4 linked regions of the Diceros bicornis minor genome follow. The protein of the gene in region 1 binds, or shares a complex with, the protein of each later gene. Links are inferred from orthologs where the notes say so. Each region holds a gene or a part of one and is shown in the gene's direction. Other genes may lie near its edges.

What was found.
Region 2: TMEM231 (region 1) and TMEM107 share a complex: the UniProt entries of both Homo sapiens proteins name them as parts of the tectonic-like complex. The link is inferred for Diceros bicornis minor from reciprocal best matches to the Homo sapiens genes TMEM231 and TMEM107.
Region 3: TMEM231 (region 1) and TCTN1 share a complex: the UniProt entries of both Homo sapiens proteins name them as parts of the tectonic-like complex. The link is inferred for Diceros bicornis minor from reciprocal best matches to the Homo sapiens genes TMEM231 and TCTN1.
Region 4: TMEM231 (region 1) and TMEM67 share a complex: the UniProt entries of both Homo sapiens proteins name them as parts of the tectonic-like complex. The link is inferred for Diceros bicornis minor from reciprocal best matches to the Homo sapiens genes TMEM231 and TMEM67.

Annotation. Positions count from the first base shown.
Region 1 is NC_080771.1:25,997,465-26,005,202, reverse strand, and holds the start of TMEM231 (transmembrane protein 231), read left to right. Parts: upstream 1-4,725; 5' UTR 4,726-4,827; coding exon 4,828-4,966; intron 4,967-5,072; coding exon 5,073-5,242; intron 5,243-6,407; coding exon 6,408-6,462; intron 6,463-6,706; coding exon 6,707-6,789; intron 6,790-7,738. UniProt on the Homo sapiens protein: Transmembrane component of the tectonic-like complex, a complex localized at the transition zone of primary cilia and acting as a barrier that prevents diffusion of transmembrane proteins between the cilia and plasma membranes.
Region 2 is NC_080757.1:10,232,259-10,239,643, forward strand, and holds TMEM107 (transmembrane protein 107), read left to right. Parts: upstream 1-4,628; 5' UTR 4,629-4,798; coding exon 4,799-4,885; intron 4,886-5,061; coding exon 5,062-5,129; intron 5,130-5,231; coding exon 5,232-5,332; intron 5,333-6,077; coding exon 6,078-6,174; intron 6,175-6,401; coding exon 6,402-6,471; 3' UTR 6,472-6,869; downstream 6,870-7,385. UniProt on the Homo sapiens protein: Plays a role in cilia formation and embryonic patterning. Requires for normal Sonic hedgehog (Shh) signaling in the neural tube and acts in combination with GLI2 and GLI3 to pattern ventral and intermediate neuronal cell types.
Region 3 is NC_080774.1:9,091,819-9,099,216, forward strand, and holds the start of TCTN1 (tectonic-1), read left to right. Parts: upstream 1-4,384; 5' UTR 4,385-4,417; coding exon 4,418-4,637; intron 4,638-7,398. UniProt on the Homo sapiens protein: Component of the tectonic-like complex, a complex localized at the transition zone of primary cilia and acting as a barrier that prevents diffusion of transmembrane proteins between the cilia and plasma membranes.
Region 4 is NC_080760.1:13,097,871-13,105,418, forward strand, and holds the start of TMEM67 (meckelin), read left to right. Parts: upstream 1-4,528; coding exon 4,529-4,754; intron 4,755-4,768; exon of another isoform or gene 4,769-4,867; intron 4,868-6,352; coding exon 6,353-6,441; intron 6,442-7,471; coding exon 7,472-7,548. UniProt on the Homo sapiens protein: Required for ciliary structure and function. Part of the tectonic-like complex which is required for tissue-specific ciliogenesis and may regulate ciliary membrane composition.

The DNA of each region.
Region 1 (7,738 bases):
TTCTTCCTAGCAGAGTCATCAGGGCAGTCTGCTCTGGGTCATCATCTGTTTATGAGATGGTAAATATGTAACAAGACTATTGACTTAATTGGGCACATGATCCTTGCCGCGTGCTTGTGATTCTGATGCAGCTGAAAGACCTGTATGTTTGAACATTGTCATTCATCATTTCCTACAGTTGAAATTCCTGATGGATGCTGTGGAATCTAGCTTCATTCTAAAGGTATCTTTGTTATTTTAAGATTGTGTGTCTGAGTAACCAAAATAGGTTTTTGTTTGCTTGTTTGTCTTTAATGAAGTGAAAAATCCTTTGAATTTTGTACCTAGAAATTATTGTTGTTGCATATAGGAGCACTGTTCTAGGTGTTCAGGAAAAGCAGTGAACAGAACAGACAACACCCATGTTCTGATGGAGTTTGCATTCTAGTTGGACAAGACAGAAAATAGGGGCCGGCCCCGTGGCTTAGCGGTTAGGTGCGCACGCTCCGCTACTGGCGGCCTGGGTTCGGATCCCGGCGCGCACCAGCGCACCGCTTCTCCGGCCATGCTGAGGCCGCGTCTCACGTACAGCAGCTGGAAGGATGTGCAACTATGACATACAACTATCTACTGGGGCTTTGGGGAGAAAAAGGGGGGGGGGGGGGAAGGAGGAGGATTGGCAATAGATGTTGGCTCAGGACCGGTCTTCCTCAGCAAAAAGAGGAGGATTGGCATGGATGTTAGCTCAGGGCTGATCTTCCTCACAAAAAAAAAAAAGACAGAAAATAGATATGTCGGGTAACGATAGGTGCTGTTTCAGGAAAATAAAGCAGGGTTGGAGACTAGAGTGATGGTGGGATAGAATGCTAATTAGGTAAAGTGGTTGGCATATTCTAGGAATAAGAAGGATCCACTTGTGGCTGGAGGCGAATGAGCAAGGAGGAATGTGTTAGGAGATGAGATCAAAGAGATCTAGAACAAAGCTGTGTGGCGCTTTGAATTCCATGTGAAGAAATTTGGATTTTATTTAGAATGAAATGAGAGTCAGTGGAGGGTTTTAAACAGAGGTGTGACATGATATGACTTTCCTTTTTAAGTGATCAGGTTAGCTTTTGTGTAGACAGTAGACTATAAGGGGTTGAGGATGGAAGCAAAGGGAACAGTTAAGAGCCTATTGTGATAATCCAGGTGAAGGATGATGTTGGCTTAAACCAAGATGGTGTCTGTGGAGGCAGTGGGAAGCAGTTGTGTTCTAGATATATTTTGAAGGTAGAGCAGACAAAATTTGCTGATAGATTGGATATGAGGTATGAGGGACAAGTCAAGTCAGGGTTTTTGAAAGGATGGAATTGCCATTTACTAAAATAGAGTGGAGCTAGCTTGAGGAGTGAGAATCAAGAGTTTGGTTTTGGATATATTAAGTATGAGATGCTCAAGAGACATATCCAAGTGAAGATGTAGAGTAGGTGAATGGATCTATGAGTCTCAGATTCAGAAGAGAAATACTGAAGCTATTGAACTGGATGAGATCAGCTAGAGAGTGAGTGAAAAAATGAAAATACCTTTTTTGCAAATAGAATTAAACACTGAGGGATGAAGATGGTTGTTCACCATCTGATTGTGAATCAGTGGAGGAGTTAGAATTGGACTGAAGATCCCTGCTTCCCTTTACAGAGCTGGTCATTGTGTCCTAGTCCAAGGCATGTGTACACCACCTTGCGCCTGGAAGAGCTTAGTACACTTCTCAGGGGAAAGATCCACCATTCACCCAATTGATAGTCGTGTCACCTGTTTCAATGATGTGCAATGTCTTTCTGTCTTCTATCTTTACCTACTTTCTTGATGTCTTTTTCCAGTTCACCATTCTAATTGGCTTCTCTGATCTGCCTTGATGATATGCATCACCTTCTTCGCCTATTGGGTCATTACATTTAGCTGATTGAATGTTCTAAGGACACTGGATGCCTTCCTTGAGGGGGTGGTTAGTTGAAGAGGTGAGTCAGGAGGAGAAATAGGATCATCAATATATGCAATGACACATTAACAGACTTATAACACACACAGAATAAATTTCAAATGTTGGAGAGGTGTGTGAACATGGATACTGAGGGATGGCTAGGGCAATGGGGGCTGACATAAAGCCAAGCAAGGCTTACCAAGAAAGACTTCACAGAGAATGTGAATCTTATGTTTCAGAAAGAAAAGTACATTTTCTAAAGGATAAACTTCCCTTAAAAGATAGAAACAGGGACAGGCCTGGTGGCATAGGGGTTAAGTTCGAGTATTCCACTTTGGGGGCCTGCCCCGGGGTTTGCTGGTTGGGATCCTGGGGGCGGACCTACTCACCACTCATCAAGCCATGCTGAGGCAGCGTCCCATATAGAAGAGCTACGACTCTATAACTATGATACACAACCATGTACTGGGGCTTTGGGGAGAAAAGAGAAAAAAGAGGAAGATTGGCAACAGATGTTAGCACAGGGCCAATCTTCCCTAAAAAAAAAAAAAGATAGAAACAAAGGCTGAAGTTGGAATGGGGAACTGGGAAGCCAAAGGTTCAGCAATATAGATAAATGCCAATGTGAAAAAAATGTTGCAAAGCCTTGAAGCAAAAATTCAGGAATTTTAAACTGATTCAAGAGACCCTGAATGGGAGCTTCTAGAAAGGGGTAAAACATGATTAAAATGTGTAGTTTTAAGAGAACAACTCTCTTTGATCTTGGAGGTAAATTGTATGAAACATGAGAAAATTATGGAAATGGAAACTGAGAAGTCAGTTCTCAGTCATGAATGTGTGAAAATGACACAATATACACAGATCTTTAGCATTTAAAAAAATCTAATATTCTCTTAAAGAATTGAAATAAAAACACAAAGACTAGCTTCCTCAAATCATGGAAACAGAGTAAATATTAGTATCTGTTTTTTTTTTTTTTTTAAGATTTTATTTATTTATTTATTTTCCCCCAAAGCCCCAGTAGATAGTTGTATGTCATAGCTGCACATCCTTCTAGTTGCTGTATGTGGGACGCCACCTCAGCATGGCCGGAGAAGCAGTGCGTCTGTGCGCCCCTGGGATCCCAACCCAGGCCGCCAGCAGCGGAGCACGTGCACTTAACCGCTAAGCCATGGGGCTGGCCCTTAGTATCTGTTATTATTAAATACTTTTGCAAAGCTCATGGCATCTCAGGGGAGGCTGAAGCACTTCATACACTTAAATTCTTTTTGTTTTGTTTTGTTTTTTTTTTTGTGAGGAGGACTAGCCCTGAGCTAACATCTGATGCCAATCCTCCCCTTTTTTTCTTGAGGAAGACTGACGCTGGGCTAACATCCGTGCCCATCTTCCTCTACTTTATATGGGCCGCCGCCACAGCATGGCTTGACAAGCGGCGCTTTGGTGCGCGCCCGGGATCCGAGCCTGCGAACCCCGGGCCGCTGCAGCAGAGGGCGCGCACTTAACTGCGGCGCCACCAGACCGGGCCCCAACACATACACCTAAATTCTTAGCAGTCACCTCCCTGTTTCAGCAGTGACCAAGTGACACTAGCTACAGTGTGTGTTTCCTGCTGAAAGAAGGACCTGTGGAGGGAAACACCTCCTTCCTCAGAGCCACCCTCACAATGCGATAGTAGAACCATTTATTCTAGAATCTTATTTTAATGGTTATTTAAATAAATGAAAGTCATCCACTAAACCATAGATAGAATATAATGTCAGAATCATAACATAGCTTTAAGCTAACAATTGCTGTATTTAAGAGCTGTGTTGCCATCCCAGAAAAGCTGTAAAGCAAGAATGAGTAGGACTAGACCAGATATGTCAAAAGCATCATATGGCCGATGACACTGTCACCTTGGACTATGGTAAGGGCCCTAGCTAGTTATCCCAAATGGGCAGATCCTGACCTCCCTCTGTCTGTGTTGTTAGGATCTCAGTTGTTCTCTTCATCTAAAAGCCACTTCTAGGTTGCCTTCAAAATAGGGGCATCAACTACTGGACTCCACTCTAAGCACAAACTTCACACTATCTCTTGGCACTGCAGTGTGATCCTTCAAGCCCTTTTGATGAAGAACTTGGCTGTGAACCATGGTTAAAAAAAAAAAAAATCCTTCTGCCATGCTCGAAATACTGGTTTGGGGGTTAGAAACATTCAATTAAGTGATAAGCCAATGTTATCTTTGGGGAGGACCATAGCTTCCTCTAAAACCAGTAGCCAGGCTTGTACCCAATACATGTAACAAAGTATAGCAGAGAGCTATGTAGTAATTATCCTTTATCCCACGAAGAGCTGCGAGATTTGTGTCCTGTTTCTATGTCTGTCCTACTATGGAGTAGAGTGAAAGCAACGAAACTTTGGAGACAAAGGGACCTGGTTTTTGTCTTATCCCAGGAACAGGTGGAGGATCACGGCCAGTTTATGTTCTGTGTGTTTTCCTCCCATGTAGGGTGTGCTGTGACTAGCTGGACTTAAGTATGAACCACATTGTGGATTAACAGATAACATACAAGCAGCTATTTACTGTAAGGCAACTTTTATGAAAATCTTCTTTTACACAAGTGTTAACACGGGCGGTGGCTATGATTTTGGTGCACGCAAACATTCTACCTCCACCCAGCCTTTGGAGAAACGCACGCAACGCGTAAAGCGGGTCGAGCGTCCACCAGCCCGCATCGCCCCCGTCAGCCCCGCCCCTACGGTGGCCCCGCTTCCTTGCTATTGGTTCCTTTCCCTGCGCCGTCGGTTGCCGTGGAGACCACAGCTATGGCAACTAGGAGAAGCCAAACTTAGTCGTTCCTCTCGAACCGCGGAGGGGTCCCGGGCGTGCGGCGCTAGTCCGCGCGGAGCTCATGGCGCTCTACGAGCTCTACTCTCACCCGGCCGAGCGCGGCTACCGCGCGGGGCTCTGCTCCAAGGCCGCGGTGTTCCTGCTGCTGGCCGCCGTGCTCACGTACATCCCGCCGCTGCTGGTGGCCTTCCGGAGCCACGGTGAGCCTGCCCCCGGCCGGTGCGCAGCACAGCCCCTGCGGCCCGCGGCGCCCCGGCCGGCCTTCCTGACTTCCTCCCTACCGCCCTCCCGCCTTCTTTACCTCAGGGTTCTGGCTGAAGCGGAGCAGCTACGAGGAGCAGCCGACCGTGCGCTTCCAGCACCAGGTGCTGCTCGTAGCCCTGCTAGGATCCGAGCGCGGCGGCTTTCTCGCGTGGAGCACGTTCCCCGCCTTCAACCGGCTGCAGGGGGATCACCTGCGCGTCCCGCTCGTTTCGGTGCGTGATTCCTGCCCTTTTCTAGCCCCCCCACCCCGGGGACTGGGCGGTGGTGGCGGTGGGAGGGAGGTAGCGAGCTGCCCGGCCTGAGCCCCCGGGGAGCCCAGCGTGGATCTTAAGGGTTCGCGAACCCATGGAGGTTGTGTGCACAGGCTCATTGGCCTAAGCCTATTTACTGGCCTCTTTTACTGGTTTAATTTACTGAGAGGTAAATTTCTCGTTTCATTCGACTTCTCCAAGCCGTCTCCAACCCCAAGAAGGTTAGCCACTGCTGTCAGCGTCTGCGTCCTGACAGAGTGCAGAAGCCTGGGGACAGCCTGTCGCTGGCCCCGTCCTTTCCGGGCCTGGCCTCATGGAAGGGTGGTCGGGAAAGTTCGTGGGTCATGAAGGCCGAGCAGTGTTCCTGTTGTAACCCCATCATGTCGCTGCAGTTGTGCATCGCACCACGGTGGGAACGCAAAGGGTAGGCGTTTTTATGAAGACTTGACACATGGAAGCCAAGGCGGTGATTGGTTCAGCGACCTCCCCAGAAAGTCGGGCTGGCCTAGTCCCTGAGCTTGTACCTTTAGATGCTGCTCCATCCTGCAGCTGTCTGGGATGAAAATGAAGCATTTTACTATTTGTAATTTAGTCTTTGGTTCAGGATAAGTGAGTGCTTCCTTGACAATCACCCCTTTCCGCACATTTTCTGAAAACGTTTTGCTTTGGAAGTATGAAAATTCTGGTTTTCCTTCTTCCAAAGTTGAATCTCTTTACACATCTCTGAGCTGATTGGCCTACAAGCCAGACTTGTGCAGCTGAAAACAAAAATTCAGACTTTTTTCTAGCAGCTAAATGAAATGAAAAAAAGTTTTAAACCTTATTGTTATATGAATAACTACAAACAAAATATGATTCAGATTACTTTTTTTCTGGTTACTTTACGTTTTCTTATATTTTTTTTCTGATTATAAAAATGCATGCTCATTGTAAAATATGAAAAAGTTACAGGTATACAGAAAGGCATAAAATTAAAGGCTTAGTTTGGTACATGAATCAATACTTGTTAATTAACCTTATTCTTTTTAAGGTCTGCAAAGTATTTCATAATATAGAAAAACCATGATGGATTTAACCACTTCCCCATTGGTGGATATTTGATTTGCTTTTACTTTTTCACTATTAGAATATTGCAGTGAGTAAGATTTTGAATTGGAATGGAAGCTGTTGGTTGAAATTGTGTAAGTACATGGAAAACTAAGCAAGCAAATAAAACAGTAACTCCAGAGAAAGAAAAAGTAAGGAACAGTGAGAAAGGAAAAGTAATCAGAGTTGTGAATGGTATTTACGTAGTCATAATTATATGAACACTGAGTATTGACTAACCAAAAGAATGGGAAGGGTGTGTGTGTGTGGGTGTGGGTGGTGGGGGCTGGTGGGAGGTGAGGGGAAGAAAACTAAATCTTCATCTTTCCTTGTGGGAAGTCAATAGAGAATGCCTGAAACTGAGAAATCGAGAAGTGCCAATTCAAATGTTAAAACATGGAGATACGTTTCTAAATAATGAGGTAAATGAGATGAAAATATTTGTTATGGGAGTGGAAGTCTGTTTTTCTAACAAATATGGTTGAACACTTTGATTCTTTAAATGCTTAGGTCTTTTAAATTGATTTTAAAAATAGAACTGGAGTAGGAGACATTTCTTTCAGTAGCTCCTCACTAATCATGACATGTTGCCCATTTTTATTATTTGAGATTATAATGCCTCTTGGGAAGGGTGACTGGATGAGAGGCCAGTGTTGAGGTATGCTTACTTTTCATTGTGTACCCAGTGTACTTCTGGTGTTCCATGTGCGTGTGTTTCATTTCCAAAAATGGAAACAAAGGATTTTTTATTCCAAATAAAAAATTAACTTGTTTGGTTTACTTTAGGTTAGCAGTCCCTGTCTTAAATTTTTTTCTTTACATTTGTATATTCCTCTCTATCCTATTCTTCTGGTTACTTGAGTCTAAGAAATAATCATGAAAATGTAAAATAATCATGAAAACAGGGATATAGCGTTAGGTTTCGTTCATTCGTTCTTTTCACTTGTTCATCCACCACAAGTGGTTGGCTCCCCGGTTGGACCGCTGTGTTAGCCTCTTATCTCGGTAACCAGAAACTGCTCCCTTGAGAGCATTGCCCATGTTCCCCCTGCTTCTGGTGTGTGTGAATTCCGATTTTAAATCTACAAAGCCAAGACTACCTCTTTTTTTTTTTTGGTGCCCAGAACCGTTAATCCTTTCATACTGGGTAATTTTTGTAAGACACAAAACCAAAGCTCCTTTTTCTTAGTTTTTTACCCCTTCATTCTAGGCCAGTGCCTATAAGTAATTTATGGCCTTGTTATCTACAGTCTTTCTCAATAAATGCTTTGCTTCCTTCCTACCTGAGCTCTTGGTTTGAGAATAGTTTGAAATCATGAGATACAAGAAATGAGAAGACAGTGGAAGTACAGACCTCAACAGCAAACCAAA
Region 2 (7,385 bases), on another chromosome or scaffold:
CCGACTTTAAGGAACTTCATTTATTTGTTGCATTTATTTGTTGTGTTCTAGTAGGAAAGACACAATAAATGAGTAAAGTAATAAATCAAATGACTACACATTATAATGAGGACCAGTGAGAGGTAAGAGATTGTGGTGGTGAAGAGCTCAGATTCTCAAATCAGCCTGGATTTGAAGCCTGGTGTTATGAGTTACAGCCCATGTGTCCTCAGGCAGGTAAATATGTTACTCTTGCCTCAGTTTCCTTATCTGTGTCTAAATATCACCGAATTGTGTACTTCGCAAAAGTTAATTTTATGTTGTATAAATTTCACATAGAAAAGAAAAGAAACAACTCAGAGGCCAACTTCAAGAGGTTCCCACTGGCCCAAACTGAGATGATTTGAGCATTAAAAAGAATCACAACTGCAATGGACTGGAACACACAAAAGATGTTAAAATCTCCAAGTTCACAATGACACTAAAAACAACTAATTAGTCACTTTTGGAGGATGCTAGGGAACCGACTCATTCTGAAAACTGTTAGATAATGGGGAAAAAATACCACACATTTATCCAGGCTTTCCTGTGTGACCTGTATCTCATGGTAAACAACGAGTTGATGAGGGCATGGCCTCAGGTGCCCAGGTGATAAATGCAGAAGGAATGATAGAATTAGGACGTCCCAGTTCTCAACCTTTCATGAAATAATGGAGCTAGGCGGTGATGATCAATAAACCAGGAGGTGAAAAACTGATGGCGAACTTTATAATGGTTGCCTCAGTCTGACTACATCTGAACCTGCTGCTCAGATTTAACAACGGAAAAATAGGGACAAGCAGGCATTATGTGCATCCTGATGTGATGGAATGAGAAGTACCATGATGTATTTTTATCAGAAAATTGAACATGAGGCTGATCAACCACTAGGTCTAACAACCAGTTTACAGGAAATACTGGTCGCAGGGGAACATGTTAAACGACACAACTAGTACACAGCCCAAAACATCCCAGTGTCTTCAACAGATAAATTGCAAGAAAACAAGGAACGGGGAGGGACAAACAGTGAAAAAATAATATGTATGAGATTGGACAATTTGAACTATTTTGTGATGTCTGAGATTTGCTTCAAAATAACCTGGTGGGCCTAGGAGGAAGGAGTATAGCTGAAACAAGGTTGGCCATGTGTTGGTAATTGTTGAAGGAGAATGGTAGGCTTCAAAGGGGTTCATTATAGTATTTTCTTTATTTTTACATGTTTGAATTTTTCCATGATAAACATTTTTTTTTCTAAGTTGTTTTATGACCAGTTCAAATGTTAGGACATGTGGGTTCCAGCCCTGAAGCAAGTGGCCCGCTAGGGGACACCTGGTCACTGGCAGTGCTTCCTATGGCCACAGGGTGGCTCCAAAACTCACTTTTGTGAGACGTCTCTGTAGAGCAGGCTGCGGTGAACCAAGGTCACAGAAAATGACAGAACAGACCTAAATGCCTGTTGTTTATTAACTCACAATGTGAAATGTGACTACCCAGTTCTTACTATCTAGTAGGTCCCTTAGGCAGGAAGCCTACTATAAGCAGAATGCCCCAAACTTCCGGCTGCTGGAGCCCAAAATCTAACAGTTATCCTAGACCCTTCTCTTTTTCTCGCCCACCCACAGCCCCATGTCCAGACCTTCTTATCTTCTATCTCTTTTTTTTAAAAACATAAATTTATACTGCCTTCACCTATTTCTAACTATCTCTTGATTCCTTCCACTTTGCTCCTGTTTCTTGATTCCATCCTGGCCTGATTTCATCCTGTCCTTCCTGGAGAACTCGATGGCTTCTTTACTAGCCTTCTGCTTAAAATCTATTCTCCATGTTGCAACCAAAGTCATCTTCTAGAATACAAATCCGACCATGTCCCTGCCCATGGCTGCAAGGCCCAACATGATCTGACCCTTGCCTACCCATCCCACCTCACCCCGATCTCTTCTTCCCCTTCCATTACCACACTTCAGACACACTAGCTTCCTGTTCTTTCAACAAACACACTGGGCTTGTCCTCACGTAAGGACCTTTGCACTTGCTGTTTCTCTGCCTGGAATGCTCTTTCCCCAGATCTCCACATGGCTGACTCTTTCTCTTCTATTTGTTCCAAGGACCTTGGGAAGTCTTGCAAAAGCAAGGTCACGGGCTTTCCTCACTTGCACTCTATGACAGTGCTTCCTTCACCTGTGAACAGTTAGACTTGATAAACTGTCGCTGGGGGAGCTTGGCCCTGAAGACCTGGGCTTTCCATTCTCAGGAGAAAAGGCATGTAAGTTACAGGCAGAGAGAAGAAGAGTATGAGGAGCCCTTCAGTCCTTGCATCTTCTCTGTGTACTAAGAATGTCCCCACGCTTGCTACGCTGTGATTTCCATGTTGGAGAGCACGGGAAGCCCACCTCTCATTGTATTTCAGTGTCATCACTGTCACATCATTAATGAAGACGAGGGTCACCTCAAGGGAGAGAAGCAGTTGGGCCCACCGTACTTGATGGGTTTGCCCGTCCCTCCTGAGATGGGGGAAGTTTGAAAATATTTTCAGAACTTTGAAACAGTCCAGTTAAAGAGAGAACCTCCCCTACACAGCTGAGAGCTGAGAAACCAGTGTGGGTAATATTTGATTATCATCAAATATTTTTTGAGTGGAGAATAAAGAGACTTTGCTGAACCTCACACTTTATAAAAATAATTCCTCTGAGAAGTCTAAATGATTGCAATTTTTATTTTATGAGTTTTGGTGATCACATTGTCTCCATTGTGAGGAAAAAGCTGTGCTGCCCTCTAAAGAGGCGGTTTTATATGAACATGTTATTACATAGTGTTAATATATAGGAGGTCAACATTTAGGGACACTCAATCCTAGAAATCATTCCTTCTTTTTATACAGCAATTTAATGTCTCAATGATAATATTGTATAAGACCTGGAAGGAAAACTTTAAAAGGCTTATCATTTAACACTTTTTATTTTAAAATAATTTTATTTCTAGAAAAGTAGCAAAAATAATACAAAGAATTTCCCTGTGCATTCACTGAAAAGGCACATCATTGTCTTTGCTTTATCATTGTCTCTCTATCTCTACAGACGCATATATTTTTTCTAAACCATTTGAGAGTAAATTGCAGACATAATGCCCCTTTACCCCAAAACACTTCAGTGTGTATTTTCTAACAAGGACGTTCTCATCCATAAAGGCATTAGAATATCAAAAATCAGGAAGTTAACACTGATAACAAATACTATTATCTAAGCTAGAGACCTTATTCAAATTTTGCCAATTGTTCTACTAATATTCTTTAAAGTAAAAGTTTTTTTTCCCTAATCCAAGATCCACTAGGATCACACATTAAATTTCTCGTGTCAACTTTGTCACATCTTAATCTCCCTTAATCTGGAAGAGTTCTTCAGTCTTTGTCTTTCATGACCTTGAGGAAACATCTTTTGACTATCTCTTTGAATTCTGAATTTTTTCACCCACTGGTTTATAAAAAGGAAATCCATTTATTACACTGAGGGCCTGGAAGAGAGAAATGCATTTCCTCTCACTTTTGACCAAATTTCCTAAAACAAAGTTTTAGGGCAAATGACCCACTTCAAACAGCTTTTTCTTGATCATATTATTCTAGTGTTTCCCTTTTAAAATTTTATTTATGGCACCTATTACCATGCAGACGTATTGTTTGCATGTTTGCTGTCGATCTCCCTGACTAGAATATAAACCCCACGAAGGTAGAGACTTCTGTCAAGAACAAGAGCCCAGCACAGTGCCTGGCACTTACCAGCTGGTCAATAAATATCTGTTGAATGAATGAACGAATGAGTGAATGAATCAAGAAATCAGAAATGCCCCTTGGTCTTGTACTTTAGACCGTCCTAAAAGCACTGAGATGGAGAGTAGGGAGAAAGATGATCTTCTCCTAAGTGGACGGGGGGTCCCCGCGACTCCTGTGACTGTGAGCGATAAACGCGGCCGAGAACTTTCCGTTCTGCAGGGATCCCCTTTGAGGCCCAAAGGTCAGTTGTCTGGGGAGTCAGGTGGGGGGAATCAGAATCAAGGAAGGTTCAGGTCCGGGGTCCTCGGAGAACAAGGGGCTGCGTGACAATAAGTGATAGCTGGACCATCTAGGGACATCCATCTCTCCACGTTTAGTTCCCTTCGTCTCCTCTGGCCCAGGGCAGTGGGAAGCTAAAGGGATGCGGAGGAGAGAAAAGGAGAGAGTGTCCATGCCTTGGGCATGGCGGTGCCCTAAGCCCGGCGGGGCGGTGACATCGTCTCTGGTGAGCAACTCTTCCGCGGAGGGTCATCCTGGGCAACGTAGCGGGGGTCTGCGGCCGGGCCGCTCCTGGCGTGGGCATCCGGGGAGGAAGGGGTGTAGTGGGCTAGGGCAGGGCGGGTGTCCTTTCGCTCGCCCTGCGTGGGCAGGTTCGGCGGTGCGGGGCTGCGCCACATCGCGCACTCTCACGTGCAGACGGCTCGGCTGCGCGATGGGAGCCGGCCCGCGGTAGGCACCCGGCAGGGACCACCCGCTGCGGACCCCAAACCTACGCTCTCCAAGAGGTCCACGGCGGCTGGAGAATTTACTGCTCTCGCGAGATTTTCAGAGATCCGGCCGCGGCGCCCGCTTACGTGGTTGCCGAGGCAACTGGGCGGTGCCAGCGCGAGCGGGAAGGGGGCGTACGTCGAGTTTTTGTCTGCTAGCCTGCGAGACTTCAGGAGTGGCCATCCCTAAACTTCCAGCCCCTTGAGACCTCGGCTTCTGCTCCAGACGGTGCCTCTGCCCCTGGGGGCCATGGGCCGGATCTCAGGGCTCGTGCCCTCTCGGTTCCTGACGCTCCTGGCGCATCTGGTGGTCGTCATCACCTTATTCTGGTCCCGGGTAAGACCCACGGCCACCCTCTCCCGCCCCCATTCCCGCCTCGGGGTGGTCCCAACCCAACCCCGCTTCTTTCCCAGGGCCTTACCTGGTCGGGTCCTCCCGTGCCTCGCTGCCCCCAGGCCTGCCCCGCAGCCCGCCCCTTTTTCACTTCTCTTCCTCTCTGCCCTGCTCCCCAGGACAGCAACATCCAGGCCTGCCTGCCTCTCACGTTCACTCCCGAGGAGTACGAGAAGCAGGACATTCAGTGAGCACTTGGGGCGGGGTGGTCAGAATTAAGCAGTGGTGGGAGTGGAGGGGTCTTAGAAGAAGTCCAGAAGGCCTGAACCAACCCCTTTCCTCTCTGCAGGCTGGTGGCAGCGCTCTCTGTCACCCTGGGCCTCTTTGCAGTGGAGCTGGCCGGCTTCTTCTCAGGAGTTTCCATGTTCAACAGCACCCAGAGCCTCATCTGTATCCTTTCTGCCTGCGCACCTTTCCCACACTGTCCGTTTCCATCACAACTACCTTCAGCCACATAACTAGGCTTTTCTGGCACAATAGTGTCTGCCCTAGTGGACAGTCTCCCCAGTTGAGAGATCTCTTTAGGCAATGGAGAGTATTTAATACAATCTTTAGTCATTTGCCCCTGCTATGCACCAGGCACGGGAGATCCAAAAATGGGAGTAAAACACAGTTTTCTGCCTTGAGGAAGAGGCAGACACAGCCATCTGTAATTCAGTGCGATAAGCACTGTGCTGTGGGAGTGTGTAAAGATATAAAACATTATGGGAACTCAGAAGAAACAGAGGAAGTGAGAAAGATGGATCAGGGAAGGCTCTTGACACTTGAATTGTGGACCAGGAGGACCCGGATGCTGGAGGGTAGTTCCAGCAGAGCGTATCAAGTCACTGTGAGCATTCCTGTGTGGCCTGGGGGAGAGGAGGAGCCTACTCCTACCTCACCGGAAAGGTCCAGCCTGGCCTTTAGATATGGGGTGGGAGTAGCCTGGGTCTCAGCTGTGCAGGCTCACCTATGGCCTCTGCTCACGTGGCTGTCCTAAAACTCAGAAGGCAGGGCTACCGGCTCTGACCTTTGCAATGTGAGGAGGAAGCAAGAGGTGAACCTGAGTGCAGATGCCAGCCCCACCACTGGCCTTTTCTGGCCCATCAGTATCTATCGATCCATAGGCTTTCCTTGACTCTGGTGCGTTCTCAAGCCATGGGGGCTCACTGTAGTGCGTCTGTGGCCCTATCCTTTTTCATATTCGAGCGTTGGGAGTGCACCACGTACTGGTACATTTTTGTCTTCTGCAGGTACAGTAGCGTCCAATGTTTGGAGATGGGGGGGTGGAAGGTTTACTCTAAATCTGAAAGTTTCCCCCACCAGCGCTTTACTCCATATGTGAAATACCAGATCCACTCAACATCCTGTGGTCTTTTCAAGTCCCGCCCCACCTAGGCTTTGGGAGTGGGGTCTCTGGTTTGGGGATTTGGGTATTTTTATTGGAAGGGGCCCTGAATCCACCACCTGCCTTTCGCAGCGCCCTCCCAGCTGTCACTGAAATGGCATTATTCGTCAGCGTCTTTGGGCTGAAAAAGAAACCTTTCTGATCACCTTCATGATGGGAACGTAGAGATGAAGGCTGGAGGAGCAAGGCACCACTCACCGTTCCTGGAAGAAGGCAGGCGTAGGCTTCAGCGCTCCCACTGAAACTGCATTTGGTGGAAGATGTCAGTGTTAGTAGTGTTAAGGTAATTATCTCTCGCGTCTAGGCTTATCAAAGTTTAATTTAGCTCTTTGTAATAAAATATATTTTAGAGTAAGATCAAGACTTATAAAAATTTCAAAGGAGAATCGGGATGGCCAAACAACTGGAGAAACGGAAGGCTGTTTTCCAGCTTTGGAGACTGTAAGATAATAGGTATCGCTTTTATTTTGGTTATTACGGTAGCTGTCTGGCGAAGGGGGTGGGCGGAGATATGTAAATAAGTGGCGCGTACGACTAGGACTCCAAGCTCGTGAGTGAATGGAGCATTCTGGGAGGAATTAATTTATCCCTTTTGGCAGCCAAATGGAAAAAAAATTTATTTTAAAAGATCTGCAAATAAATGTTCCAACAGAAGTGGGGGAGCTTAAATAAACAGGTTGCTCAGGCTAACGCATTATATAGTCACCGTAGTTGTTAGCGGAATCTTTTTCCCTGAGTACGGAATGCCCTAGCGAAAGTTGGTTATCGTCAGGTAGGATAATCCTTACCTGTTCCCCCTTTTTGGGGGACAGATTAGAACATGATGATTGGAGTGCGCATGATTCGTGATTAGCGTCTCTGCGTGATCAGGACTTGCAACACCCTGATTACTCCTATCTGATTTTTCCTGACGATCGCCTTGTTTTATTTTTGTACTGATGGTTAGACTTGATTTGCTTAAACATGAGATGTGTGTTGAGCTTTTATCAGTAATGGATTACTTTGACTCAACTATTTTCCAATGTTGTTTGTTACTCGTCAATTTTGTCGTTGCTG
Region 3 (7,398 bases), on another chromosome or scaffold:
GTGGAATACTTGTCAGCAATAAAAAGGAATGGACTGAAATAAACTCTTGCATATATGGCCAAATGATTTTTGACAAGGGTTCCAAGACTACACAATGGGGAAAGGACAATCTATTCAACAAATGGTGTTGGGAAAACTGGATATCCACATGCAAAGATGGAAGTTGGATCCTTACCTCACATCATATACAAAAATTAACTCAAAATGGATTAGAGACCTAAACGTAAAGCCTAAAACTATTAAACTCCTAGAAGAAAATATAGGGGGAAAACTTTCAGACATTGGATTTGGCAATGATTTCTTGGATATGAGACCAAAAGCACAGGCAACAACAACAACCAAATAGACAAATGGGGCTAAATCAAACTCAAAAATTTCTGTGTGTCAAAGGAAACAATCAACAGAGTGAAAAGGCAACCTACGGAATGGGAGAAAATAGTTGCAAATCATGTATTTGATAAGGGGTTAATAGCCAGAATACATAAAGAACTTCTACAACTCAACAAGAAAAAACCAAATAACCCAATTAACAAATGGGCAAAGGGCTTGTATAGACACTTCTGCAAAGAAGATATACAAATGGCCAATAAGCATGGCAAAAGATGCTGAACATCACTAATATCAGGGAAATGCAAACCAAAACCACCATGAGATATCACCTTACCCCCATCAGGATGGCCATCACCAAAGAAGAGAAAATTACAAGTGTTGGCGAGAATGTGGAGAACTTGGAACTCTTATATACTGTTGGTGGGAATGTAAATGGTGCAGCCATCATGGAAAACAGTATAGAGTTCCCCAAAAAAATTTAAAATAGAATTACATGGGATCCAGCAATCCCACTTCTGGAATATATCCAAAAGAATTCAAAGCAGGATCTTGAAAAGATATTTGCACATCCATGTTCATAGCAGCATTATTCACAATAGTGAAGAAGTGGAAGCAACCCAAACGTCAATTAACATATGAATGGAAAAAGAAAATGTGATATATATATACATATACACACAATGGAATATTATGCAGCCTTAAAAAAGGAAATCCTGTTACATGCTACAACATGGATGAAAATTGAGGAAATTATGCTAAGTGAAATAAGCCAGTCATGAAAGGACAAATACTGGATGATTCTACTCACATGAAATATCTAAAATAGTCAAAATCATAGAAACAGAAAATAGAAAGGTGGTTACCAAGGGCTGAGGGGAGGGGATGGGAGAATTACTGTTTAGTGGGTATAGAGTTTCAGTGTTGCAAGATGAAAAAGTTCTAGAAATCTGTTGCACAACAATGTGAAAACACTTAACACTACTGATCTGTACACTTAAAAATGATTAAGATGGTAAGTTTAATGTTATGTGTTTTTTACCACAATAATAATAATAATAATAATAATAAAAAGAAATGGACCATTGATACACGCAACATGGATGTATCTCAAAGGCATTAGGCTAAGTGAAAGAAGCCAGGCTCAAAAGGCTGCATACTGTAGGATTCCACTGATGTGACATTCTGGAAAAAGGAGAACTATAGAGACAGAAGATAGATCAGTGTCCTCAGGGTCTGGAGTGGGAGGGGTTGGCTATGTAGAAACTTTTGAGGGTGGTAAAATTGTTCTATAGCTTGATTGTGGTTGTGGTTACATGACTGTATGTGTTTGTTACATACAGTCATAAAACTAGAACTGTACACCAAAAAAACTGTACATTGATGCATGAGAAAACCTGCACACCAAAAACCATATGCAAAATTATACTGTATATAAATTATCCCTCAATAAACCTGATTAAAAAGAAATGTGGAGTAAATATGCAAAATGTGCAGTGGACAGTGGTGTTCTTTTTTGTACCCTTCATTGTGAGTGAAATGTTTCAATCTGAAAATAATAAAAACAAAATTGATTCTTAAAAAGCCAACTGGTTTATTAGAACTGCAGTATGGTCCAATGATAGAATGTTAGTTTCAAGTTGTCTGGTAAACATGGAATTCTTATTTCATTCCTGTCAGTGTATATCTGTGATGGTATTTATTACTTCATTTTCAGAAAAGGTTAAACTTGTAAATTTGAGACTATTCAAGAATGTGTAGACTGCTCAAATAGCCCTTCTGCCCCCATAATGTTTCAGAAAACATTTGAAGAACAAGAAAAGTGCCTGGTGGTTGACCAGGCATATGGGGTTGGGAGGAGGAGAGAAGTTGAGGATTATTTTCTTCTGGGTGCTGATTGAGAAATCAATTACTGGACTGCTCCCTTCAGTCAAAACGATAGAGTCTATCCTTTGACCTCACACAGCCTCGATCTCTCTTCCCCGTAGTGCTAAGCAATTCCTTCATAAAGCTTGATGATTCTGCCTCCCTATTTGTAAAATATTTGGCTCAGATGAATAAAGATGGATGGATATACTTAATCATAGGAAAAAGTGGATACCTAATTTTAGACAGATTAGAAGCCACAACTTTAGCAATAATAAAAACAACAATAATAACCAATTCACCCCAAACCACACCAAACACTAAGACAGAGTGGTTAATGCTGCCTTGTAAAGTCAGCCTCGGCTATTTTTCCACCCAGCTACTCCTGTCTGTGGTTTTTCTGACTCCTCGTATGCGGCAGTTTCCAAGTGCAGAATTCCAAAAAGCTGAATTGTCTTGATTCCTCCCAGTGTTGGCGCAGACTATAAGGAATTGAGAATGCCAATAATCCTAGAAAAACAGATGGACATTTTAAATCACAAACATTTATGCACAAGCCAAATGCTGTGGTTTTGGAGAAAATATGGAAATAGATCTCAGCCCCGCCTCTTGTCCTTCCATCCTAATGAGGGAACCTACCAAGGCCAAGGGAGAAGAGAAAGAATCCCCTGGGTTGAAAGATGAAAAAAGGCTGGCAGAAATGGGTCACCTGTGAAATGAAAAGTTTCAATGTTCCCAAGGATTGCAAAATGGATCTGAGTTGATGCAACCCTCATTTCAACTTTGTAAGATGTCATAAAATTACTTTTGGGCCATCTACCGAGTGTTTGAGATTGGACAAAAAGGGGTGGTGAGATTATTTGCCAAACCATAAAGATGAAGATGTTAGAACCGAAGGGCACTTTATCAAGATTTGGTCCAACAGCCTAAAATTTCAAAACAGAAAACAGGACAAAGTGATTCACTGATATTAAGGAATACAAAAGAAAGTAGAGGCCTGGAAGATAAGAGAAGGTTTAAAAAATCAACAACAATCAGCCCTGGATTTAGAAGTTATGAAAGTTTGGGGAAAAAAAAAAAATATATTTTAAGGGAAGTGTTGTATCAGTTATTAAAAGTGGTCCAAAATTTCAATCAGACACTAAAGCAATCCTTTGGAGAAAAAAAATTTGGAAATATCTGTATTACACATTTGAGTGATCCAATTACACTTTAAAACATTTTCTCTGGAATGCCACAGGAAGATGCTAAAGATGTCACTTTGATGATTTAGCTTTGCTATATAAATTTAATAAATTAGGTATATATACTGTGGAAATGTGTTTCTTGAATAGATACCACGATATGTTCAAGTATTTTAACATCTACTTCTGAATTGTAAGGAGATGAACCGTCAAAGGTATAGCCAACATCCCTGAGTTGGAGTACCTTTATAAATAAGCCAGTTTAGAATGGAAGTGCTTCCCTAAGTCTTGTGGTCTCCGTGTCATTTTGTAGAGTTACAGATTTGCTTTGTTTTTTCTTTTTAAGATGTATAAATCATTCTACTTATTTTTTGTCAATGTTTTTGTGGGTAAAAAAGTTGTGTTCATTTGTCCCGCTTATCACAACACGGTGAACAGAAGTTGTCTGGCGATCTCCTGCGATGCATCTAAAACAAAAAAGGCAAAGCCAGCGTGGACAGGGTGTGGGAGACAGAAAATTCAAGGATGATGATGTGATCTCTGTGCTCCCGCAAAAGACCCTACTTAGTAGCTTTAGGAGAGCGGTTCCCAAATTTCTGTCCCCCGACTGTTGCGTCAAGACATTTGTTAAAAATATCAATTCCTGGACCCTGCTGTAGACTTATTGAATCAGAATCCCCTGAGATGTAATCTGCAAATCCGCACTTTTTAAACAAGCGCCGGAGGCCGCGGGGAAGCACAACACAATTTCACAAGCCGCTCGTCTCCACTGGACTCACACCGCCCCTCGTGTCCAGCCTCTCCCAGGCCCCGCCCCCTCCCGCCTCCCGCCTCCCGCCTCTCCCGCCTCCCGCCTCTCCCGCCTCCCGCCTCTCCCGCCTCCCGCCTCTCCCGCCCGCCTCTCCCAGGCCCCGCCCTCAGCTCCTGCCGTCTCGCGAGGTCTCGAGGGACTCTTCCCGTAATGCCCCGCGCCCGGCTGCCGCGGTTGCTTGGCAACGTCTGGTCCCCCTGGTGCTGGCTGCTCCGGGTTCGGCCAGGGGATGGGGCCGCGGGATCTCCCGCCGCTGTTGCTCGTGCTCCTGGACTGCTGGGCCTCTGGGAGCGCCCAGGCCGGGGCCACCTCCGCGGTGACGACGGAGGGCCTCAACTCTACGGAGGCAGCCCTGATGACTCTCCGACCTGCCTTGTCGCCTAGGCCTCCCGAGACCCCCAGGGCCCCTCGGCCCTCCTCTGGCCCCAGGCCCACCCCGGTTACGGACGGTGGGTACCAAGTGCCAACTCCTGGGGATCCACAGTAATCTAACCTGGAGGGAGGGTAGCCCGAGTGAGGATGTAATAATGATAGTTAACGTTTATTGAACACTTACTGTGTGCAGGCATTGCTAAGTGTTTCATAGGCATTCATTCTCTCAACAACCCTGCGAGGTAGATATTATTATCCCTGGCATACAGATGAGAAAACTGAGGCTCAGAGAGTGTAAGTGGGACAATATCAGATCTTTGAAAGTACTTGCAATGGTCCTGGACAACGTTAATGCTAAAAGTAATAATGAATGAATCCTTGCAGATTTGCAGCAGAAGACAAAATCGAAAGTTTCTAGACAGTTGTGGAAATGAAATGCATAGGATGCATCAGACTTTTCACTTACCAAAAAAAGAGATGCCAGAAGTCTAGCTTACAAAATGTGACTGGGTCAAGGCCCTTGCCTATTGACTTGAATTATGAAAACTCAGGATTCCTCCTGTGTTGAGTTGGAAGGGGAAGCTGTAGGGTAAGGGGTTATGCCCACTTCTTAGGATTCATCTTTAGGGATAATTAACATATTTCTCGGAAGGTGATCTAATCCTGGAGTTACACATTTAGTGAATATTTTATAATCTGATTTGAGATTGATGACTTCAGGAGATGTCTGTCTGTGACCCTGAGATTGAGTGCAAAATTTTGTGAATATGCATTTTTCTGGGGTGAGCGTTCATAGCAATCAGCAGTTTCTCAAAAGGATTTGTGATCTTAAAAATTCTAAGTCCACTGACTGTAACCTCAATAGGTATGCAGTATTTTTTATCCCTTCTTATGAGAAAAAGATCTTTTCTTTTTTTTAAAGATTCTATTTATTTATTTTCCCCCCAAAGCCCCAGTAGATAGTTGTATGTCACAGCTGCACATCCTTCTAGTTGCTGTATGTGGAACACGGCCTCAGCATGGCCGGAGAAGTGGTGCGTCGGTGCGCACCCGGGATCCGAACCCGAGCCCCCAGCAGCGGAGCGTGTGCACTTAACCGCTAAGCCACGGGGCCGGCACTCTTTTCTTAAATTGAGTATGGCTCAATATTAGTAAATAGAAAAGTCATCATTGGCTGACGTCCTGAGCTGTAGGACTTAACTTCAGTTACGGAACCATTATTTCTCCAGAGGGCCTCCTTTATAAATTATGAGTAGTCTGTAAGAAAAAGTACAGAGAAATATATTTTCTGTTTCAATATATGTAAACAAAACTCTGTTTTGTATTTAAACTGTTCATTTGATGAATTAGTAGGGAAGTTAAATCAATGATAAATTGGGACGGAATACGGCAGTGTAGTCAAGGCCCAAAATTCTCTAAGGTTTTTGGACTGTGTTGTCTTTTATCCATGTCAGTATTCATCTGTTAATCCACTTTCTCCCCAGAATGAAGCTATTCTTGAATCATCATTATTAGGGCATGTGTTCAGCGCTTTTTTTCCAGTATAGGGGATGAATTTTCACTTCATCTTTTTAAAGGAGCCCTCCTTAGACCTGTGAAAGTAATGATAATAAACGACAGCTGGCATTTATTAACTGCTTACTGTGTAGCAGGCACTGTGCTAAGCATTTCATCTGTGATGTATCTCATTTAATTCTCATAACAATCCTATGATGTGGGCTATCCCCATTTTTCAGGCAGGTGAATTACCTGCCTGATTTTAGCTCACACTCCTGGTACGTGTTGGAGCAGGAGGCTGGCTCTGCGTGGAGAACTGGACAGCCCTTTGTAGAATGGGTTACAGATGGAAGAGAAGAGTGATAACTTTCGTCTTGCATCAGCTCTGTTTCTGAGTGCCCTGCTCTGTGAGCCGGGCGTGCGGACATTGAAAGGTGTGGCAAAGCAGCTGAGTGCTACTTAGACCCTGCAAGTGCCCAACAGATACTTGTTGGCTGATTAAGTGCACTCGTATCCTGGATAGAGACCTTTTTTTCCCCTAAGTGGAGTTATTAAACACTATTGCTTTGTCCTTAGTAGTCTTATAGCTACCTACAAGGGTTTTAAGTTTGGAAAACAAATCAAGATTATAATTTTAAATGCATAAGACAGGGAGCCCGAACACTCTCTTTATTTTTTACTTTAGTGTGCGTTATTTTACTAAGCACATAGAGGAGTCCTTGGCTAGAGAGAAGCACGTAAACTTTTGTGTCTCAGACTAACAAAAGATTGTGTATTTATTGACAGAACCTTCCCTTCTTACACACTTCTTTCCAGAGTCTGTTATTGTACCTTTTTTGAGCTACATTTTTATTGTGAAATAATTCATACATGCAAATAAGAATCTTGTATGGACTCTCTACCAGCATTTGCTTGAAATCCTTTTTTGAAAAAAGAAAAAAATTACATTGGAGCGCTGATCTTATTCCCTCCAATTACTACCATGAGTTCAGTGTTTATCATTCTCATGCTCTGCTATTTCTTTAAAAGGGTTTCCCGCCCCCCTTTTGACAGAATAAAATAGGGAATTAAAAATCCAGATAGTCATCATCATTAAAAATTAAAAGTGCTAAGTAGGGAGGTTCCTACCCTTCTCCATGCTTTATTGTCTAAATTACCAAAGATATTTCTAGGACCCCAAGTACAGAGCACCTGAGCCGGTTTGATTCTTGGCCAGTAGCCTGTGAATGTGGGCTTAGCCTCAAAGCTGCAGGTGACGTCTGAGGAGAACAAGGTTGAGAACCCTGATTCCTGGCAGCCTTAAGTGGACCCTTCCCCTGAACCAGAGCCTCCAGAGAAGGA
Region 4 (7,548 bases), on another chromosome or scaffold:
GTTCCCACCACACAGAAAGCAGCTTTTATATTTCTTTTTGTGCTGGTGGCTGTAGGTCAATGGAGCGGCCAAACATGGCTGTACTCATGTCAAGACAATTATGCCTCTCTTAACTCAGCTTGGGGATTCAAAACACAATAGTCGTTGGAATACTCAAGATGATTCCCATTTCTGGTTCCAACTTCTTCATCAAGCACTACACCTTGACATCCATTTCTACTATACCTCTCTACCTAAGTAGGCAACTCATGTTCAGCATAACCAAACTGCACTCATCTTCTCCACAAACTGTTCACCTTAACCCTAGAAATATCCTGGCCTGTCCTCTATCTGCTCTTGCTCCAACAGGATTTAGCCTTGAAGGCAAGATCTAGACTTGCTGTCAGTTTTCATCACTAAATGATTTCCCTTCCAATTATCCACTCTGCCTTTTCAAAATATTTCCTACTTTTACCTATGTTCTTTACTCAGGAAACTGATTTTGCTCTATTTCTTTGCTCCCCAGCCCAGGATTTCTTTATGGATTCACTCATCTTCCTGTTTTCTTCCAATCTGTGAAAGAATGACTCTCCTCCCCTGAGATGGTCCTTCTCCCACTCTTACATCCTAGTCCTTGACCCCTTCCTAGGAGCTCAAGAGAGAGTCAATTATTCCTCTCTTTATTTTGAATCTCTCTTCTACTACTCCTTTCCTTTCCACTTATATTCTCCTTATCCTAAAAAAAAAAAAAAAAAAAAAAAATTAAAATTCTTTTAGCTCAGTCCCTTCTTTTGCCTTCCTTTCAATGCCAAGTTCCTCAGAGTAGCCTCTATCTGGGGCTTGTTCTTTCTCACTACTGCTCTATGGCTTGCTTCCACTCCTACCACTGTAATGAAACTGCACTCTAAAAGGTAACTAATGATCACCTAGTTGCCAAATCCAAACACTTTTTCTCCATCCTCAGCCTCCTTGACTTTTTTGCAGCATTTGTACTGTTAGGGGGCATGTGGTTAAGCAGCCCCAAGAGTTAAAATACCATGATTCAAAGTTTGTGTCTGTAAATTACAAGCTGTGCTTTGACGCAGGTTTTAAAAAATCTCTACGTGCTTCCATTCAATCACCTATAAAAAGATGGTAACAACACTATAGGTTTCATAAGGTTGTTGAGTGGATTAATTTTGATAATGTAGGTAAGGCATGGTACAGTACCTATCTCATTCTAGGTGTTCAATAAGCGTTTGATATCCTCTTTGAACCCACTTTCTCACCTTTTTTGGTACCCTTCTTCCTAAGCTGACATTAAACCATGTTCTCCTAGTCACATCCGCTTCTATGTATAACTCTTGCACATTTCAGCTGGATGACTCTGGGCATGTCTTTAAGCCTGATAAATGGGTATAACCGTACTGCCTATTCATAGGGTTGTTAAAAAGACTGAAATGATGCATGGAGGAAGTTTAGCACAACACATGGCATAGAGACAACATTTGCTTTCCTGATTAAAGAGACAGAGGCAACATCTCTAGTTCAGCTCTTTTCCTTCTTCTCATCTTAAATCCGAATTTTGATATCTGGTGTAAGGCATTCATATTGCAACTAAGAGGGAAAAGCCAAGAGAACTGCAGAGATGACTATCTGACATCATTGAACGAACACCAGCAGCCACTTACCTCCAGACTTCTCATATTTATTTTTGTTTAAGCCATTGTGAACTGGGTTAAACTACCTGATCTTCTATTACTTGTAGCAAAAATATCCCTAATGATACAGTCCCAATTGATGCTTAACAGCTTTAGCTAACATTCTTTCTCCTATCCTTGTAGGCAATTTACACAGACAAACCTATAGTATCTACAGTTATCTCAAATTTAACTGTGTCTATTTTAATCTTTCTGCTACAAATAATCTCTATTTAGCTCTTTGAGGCAGTTTTGTTAGATGCAGCACTCAAAGGTCTCAGATAACCATCATTCAGCTGTCTGTGGTATATTATGTCAATATCATCTTGTTAACTAAAGACAGTAGGTTTGTCCTACATGTAGAATATACCAAAATTTTTCTCTATCTATTCCACAAAGAAGCCACTTAATAGATTGAAACGATAACAGGTTATGGAGTTGGCCAGGTGGAGATAGATTCTAGTTTCACCACTTCCTAAAATGTACCATTTTTGATCCTCAGTTTCTTTTTTAGTAAAAGGATACAAAAAAATGGATAGTATTCCCTCAAAGGGTTATTATGAAGAGTTAAGGTTAATGCTGTTAAGTGCCTAGCACAGTGCTTAGTGGGGGACACAAAGAAGACCATCATGAATGGGAGCTCTTTTATTGCTTTAATTATATAGTAGGCAATGAGTAAATATTATTGCCCTAATCCCTTCCACTGAGCATATAACAGTATGCACTTCATTAAGGAAGACTAAAGTTAAAATTTGCCTGTAGGAAGCTTTTGCAGATTAATCTCAACTATTCTGACCACACCGTTTCTGAGTCCCCATTAACATTTGTATAGTCACGTGTTTTTTCAAAATTGTTTTCAGGTAAGTGGTTTCCACTTCAAATTAGTCACTCCAACAACACGGTAATTACTCAAAAACATTTTTTAGAAGTCCTCTTTAAGGAAGAGTTTGCAGAACATACACCTCCTGTGTCATAGATATTAGTGACTAAGTGAATGCTGGTTTTTTTGGGGAAGGACACATGAGGAACTCTAGGCCTAATGGTAGCTAATGGTTAAAGTTATGTAACTTCCTTAAATGTGTTTTCCACATGCATTGAGAATATTATGTGTGTGTGTGTGTATTTTCCTTAATAGTGACAAATTATCATTTTTATTACAAAATTTGTTTTTTTAATGGAAATTTATTTTACAGTTTTTTTTTTTTTTTTTTTGGTGAGGAAGATCAGCCCTGAGCTAACATCTGCCAATCCTCCTCTTTTGTTTTGCTGAGGAAGCCTGGTCCTGGGCTGACATCCATGCTCATCTTCCTCTACTTTACATGGGATGCCACCACAGCATGGCTTGGCAAGTGGTGCGTCAGTGCGTGCCCGGGATCCGAACCAGCGAACCCCGGGCCCCCGCAGCGGAGCACGTGCACTTAACTGCTTGTGCCACCAGGCCAGCCCCAAAATTTGTTTTTTTGAGAAAGCCAAAAGTCATTTCAAGCTACTACTGATGAATAAAGTGGCTTAAAATTATGCCGGCTGATTTTATTGGGAAGGGGAGAGGAGGACAAAATAACAACAATCAAACAAACAAAATACAACAAAAACAGAAGTGAGATTTAAATATTAAGAAATATTTTTTTCTGGGCCGGCCTGGTGGCGCAAGCGGTTAAGTGCGCACACTCGGCTGCGGTGGCCCGGGGTTCGCCAGTTTGGATCCCAGGCCCGCAACGAGGCACTGCTGTCAGGCCATGCTGTGGCGGCGTCCGATATAAAGTGGAGGAAGATGGGCATGGATGTTAGGCCAGGGCCAGTTTTCCTCAGCAAAAAAAAGAGGAGGATTGGCAGATGTTAGCTCAGGGGCCCATCTTCCTCACAAAAAAAAAAATATATATATATTTTTTCTTTTATGATCTATAAACTGGCTCTGAAGGTAATTCTAAAATGTTTTGGGGCTAACAGCCTCCAAGGGTGCCTACTTTGAAAGACAAAATTCATGTATGTGTAAATTTGATTTAAAAAATTAGGTTCCTTCTTTATTAACAAGTAGGGTAAAGATTATTTCATTTTATATACATTATTTCCTGTCCTCAAAACAAGGAAAGTAGAAACACAAAGAAAGGTCTGGCAGGAAGATCTTTTTTTTAGTGCTTGAGCCAATCTTCCAGCATTGCATATTTCAAATAGGTGTTTTCCCCACATTTTTGACAAATGTATTTTTTGTTTGTTTTGTTTTTTGTGAGGAAGATCAGCCCTGAGCTAACATCTGCCAATCCTCCTCTTTTTGCTGAGGAAGACTGGCCCTGGGCTAACATCCGTGCCCATCTTCCTCCACTTTATATGGGACGCCGCTACAGCATGGCCTGACAAGCGGTGTGTCGTGCACACTCAGGGATCGGAACCGGGTTGCAGCGGAGCGCGCGCACTTAACCTCTTGCGCTACGGGGCGGCCCCTGACAAATGTATTTTGACAAATACATTGATGGAATGTCTCCTTCACCACGACCCAGTCTGGATAAATTCTGAGGTAAACATCATTCAACGGTTTAATGAAACAATACTCTTAATTTTGTGGTACAATCAGATATTTTCTTTGCTGTGGTATCCTATTTCTTGACCTCCTAAATTGATTTCACGTCCCGCTAATGGGTCGCGTCCCAGAGTTTGAAACAACCTTTTGAAACAGCCGGTCGCGCCTGCAGGATCCAGGGTTAGCTTTCCTCCAACCCATCCTTTCTCGGACTAGGCAGCTTCCGGGCTTTGGTAACCTAGCAACCAGGCAGTGCAGGCAGATACTTCCGGAACCCCAGGCCGGGAGTTGTCCAATCGGCTCCGCGGACTCGCCGCAGGGGCTGATGGGGCTGATCGCCGCCGGCGTCTGCACCATGGTGACGGGCGGCGGTGGGACCGCGGCGACCATGGAGGCTTGGTCCACCTCTTCCCCCGCGGCTGTGACTGCGCTCCTCGTGTTGGTCCTCCCTCGCCTCTCACAGGCCCAGACCTTCTCCTTACCTTTCCGGCAGCCGGAGACGTGCGGCCACAACCAGTACTTCGATATCTCCGCGCTCTCCTGTGTCTCGTGTGGAGCCAACCAGAGGCAGGACTCCCGAGGTGAGACGGTTTGGGGTGGGCTCTGGAAAGTAACATTGCCGCCCTGGCGCTGCTCCCAGACCCCGGCGTCGCTGGAACACCGTTTCATCTGCGGGAAGAATGTTTCAGGAAAGGTAACCGCCGGCGCCTGAGAGAAGGGTTCCCTTTGAGGATTGCAGCTTGCACGGTGATGAGGTTGGGGAATCCCGAGCCCGCAACCCTGTGAGCCGTCGCCAGTCCCCCATTCCTCGTCCGAGGGGTCTTTAGAGAGGCACCTGGAAAGCTGCCCCCCGAAGGTAGAAAAGAAATGGAGGAGTAACCTGAGGTGCAGAGGAGCGGGAGACAGGACAGGTTGGGAAGGGAATGCAAATTAGCGCGTGTGAACTTGAATAGCCCGTCATCTTGCTTTTCAAATCCCAGGAACTGAGAGCTGGAAGAGACCTTAACCATGATCAGGTCCAGTCATCTCATTTTACAGATTAGGAAATTGAAGCCCAGATGATGTTGTAATGTCTTCTGTGTCGCCTAAATTAGGACTGGGGGACTCTGGAAGTGTCTCTCTGCTCTCAGTCTCCAACTTTGTATTTCCACTCTATAGTGTGTCCTTAACATTATAGATTTCCTTAGGACTTATCCCTTTTATTGTTGAATATTTCTAATTGCTCTTAAAGTCTCTTTAGATTAAGCTTATTTTTTTTTCTTGGTACGTCCATCATTTGATCCTAGTTCTCCTCCCTGCACTGCTCAGAATAAGACTTTTCCCGTATTCTAAAGTCTAAGATGTTTTTAATCTTGATTTAGTCACCCGTGGTATTAACTTTCTGCCATCTTCAAATGTGATATATCCTCATGCAATTCATTGTATAGGACAGGTCAGGCTCGGCAGCTGAGAAAATATGAATGAGAAAGCATTATGAACCCAGATATCATGTGCGTTCTATTACATAGATTCCTGTGGGTGCTGTTTCCACTTAATGCCTCCTTAGAAAATGCCGTCCTTACCTACCCAGCAAGTTGAATAGTGATTATCTTATAATGTTTACTGTCTGTCCAAACAGAGGAAAACTGATTTTTACTCTAATCAAGGTAACTTTCCTAATACGGTTTTGTTCTGACAAAGTAAATTTGAATTCATTGAATATATGTGTATGATTGGGTGAAATAGAAAGGTAAAATTTCCCATAGCAATAAATCAATAGTTTATTAGTTTAATCCAGTAATTTAATAGTCTAGTTATTATGGTAGCAAGCACAATGCCTACTGTGTGCCAGATGTATTCTAAGACCTTTACATACTGACATGTCACTAATACATATGCATACATAACTAATACTCATCCTAACCCTGTGAGGTAGGTACTGTTGTCCTCATTTTGCCAAAGTGGAAGCCCAGGCACAGAGAAATTGAGTACCTTGTTCAAGGTTATGCAACCAAGTAGCAGAATCAAGATTAGAACCCAAGGAGTATGTTTCTGCATTTGAACCAAGGCAGTACTGGCTCCAGAGTCTTGCTCTTAACTACTATGCTGCTTTTCAAGATCTTAAGAATTATTACAAGTTTCCCTATCTTGGAGTTTTATTTTTATTTACCAAGGTCAAAGTTGGCTCTTTTCTTTTTAGGAACTTCATGTGTGTGTCTACCAGGATTTCAGATGATCTCTAATAATGGAGGACCTGATATTATTTGTAAAAAGTGCCCAGAAAACATGGTATGGAGTATTTATTTTTAAATAATTTTACTGTAAAAAGTAAATTAAATGTCTTTATTTTTTAAACTATGACTAGATGCTGTACTCTAATATTTTCCCACAAACTTTACAATTATTAAGCTGACTTTGTTTTTGTTTGAATAGATTTTGGGAGATAAGTGAAATTTTATGCAAACTTAGAAAAAACAGAAATGTATTGCTTTGGTTTTTAAAATCTGGAATCCAGAAAACCAAAAAGCTTTGAAAATTTGTGTCTATTTTTCCTCTTAGAGTAACTCAGTTATAAAGAAAAGTAGATGAGTGAATTTAATTATGAACATATTCAGTCTTTTCAACCAAAATTTAAAATAATTTGTGGCATTGTTTTGTTATTGCCATTGTTCTCCGTTAATTTTGGTTACATCCATGTTTGTACTATAATTACTGTATTTTCCCCAGGTTTTTCCTAAACAATATAATATAATAAGCCCATTTTGAATGATGTCATATTTTATCAAAAACCTTTATTAATACAAGCTATTAATGGATGGGAGGAAATATCCTCATAATTTAATTTTAACAACTTTATTTACATATAATTTATATACCATAAAATTCACCCATTTTGAATCATAACAATTTTTAAAAGCTAATGTATTTGAATTTTTAAAAATTAGAATAATTATTTTAGAACAAATAAGACTAACCTATTAATTGGCTATCTATTGATAAAATCTTGTTGAATTTTGTTGTTTTATCTTTATAAATGGAAAAACTCAATGACAATATTAATTATGAAAGTAAGGACTCATTTGAACTGAAAATCATGAAGAAGAAAGAATTATTGGCCAGAGTTAATAGTCGTCAGTACATAGTCATAATGTATAGCTCCATTTGGAAATATAAGTACAAATTGGCTATCCAGGAAATTTTTATGTGGCTCATATGTTTATGATTTATTTGAATATTAACTACAAATTATACACTATTGTGGCTTTTTGAACTTATATAATCAGTTAAGGAGAAAATAATTTTTTTTTTTTAAATTTAGAAAGGTGTTACTCAAGATGGCTGGAACTGCATTTCCTGCCCTAGTGGTTTAACTACAGAAGGCAAATGCCACTGTCC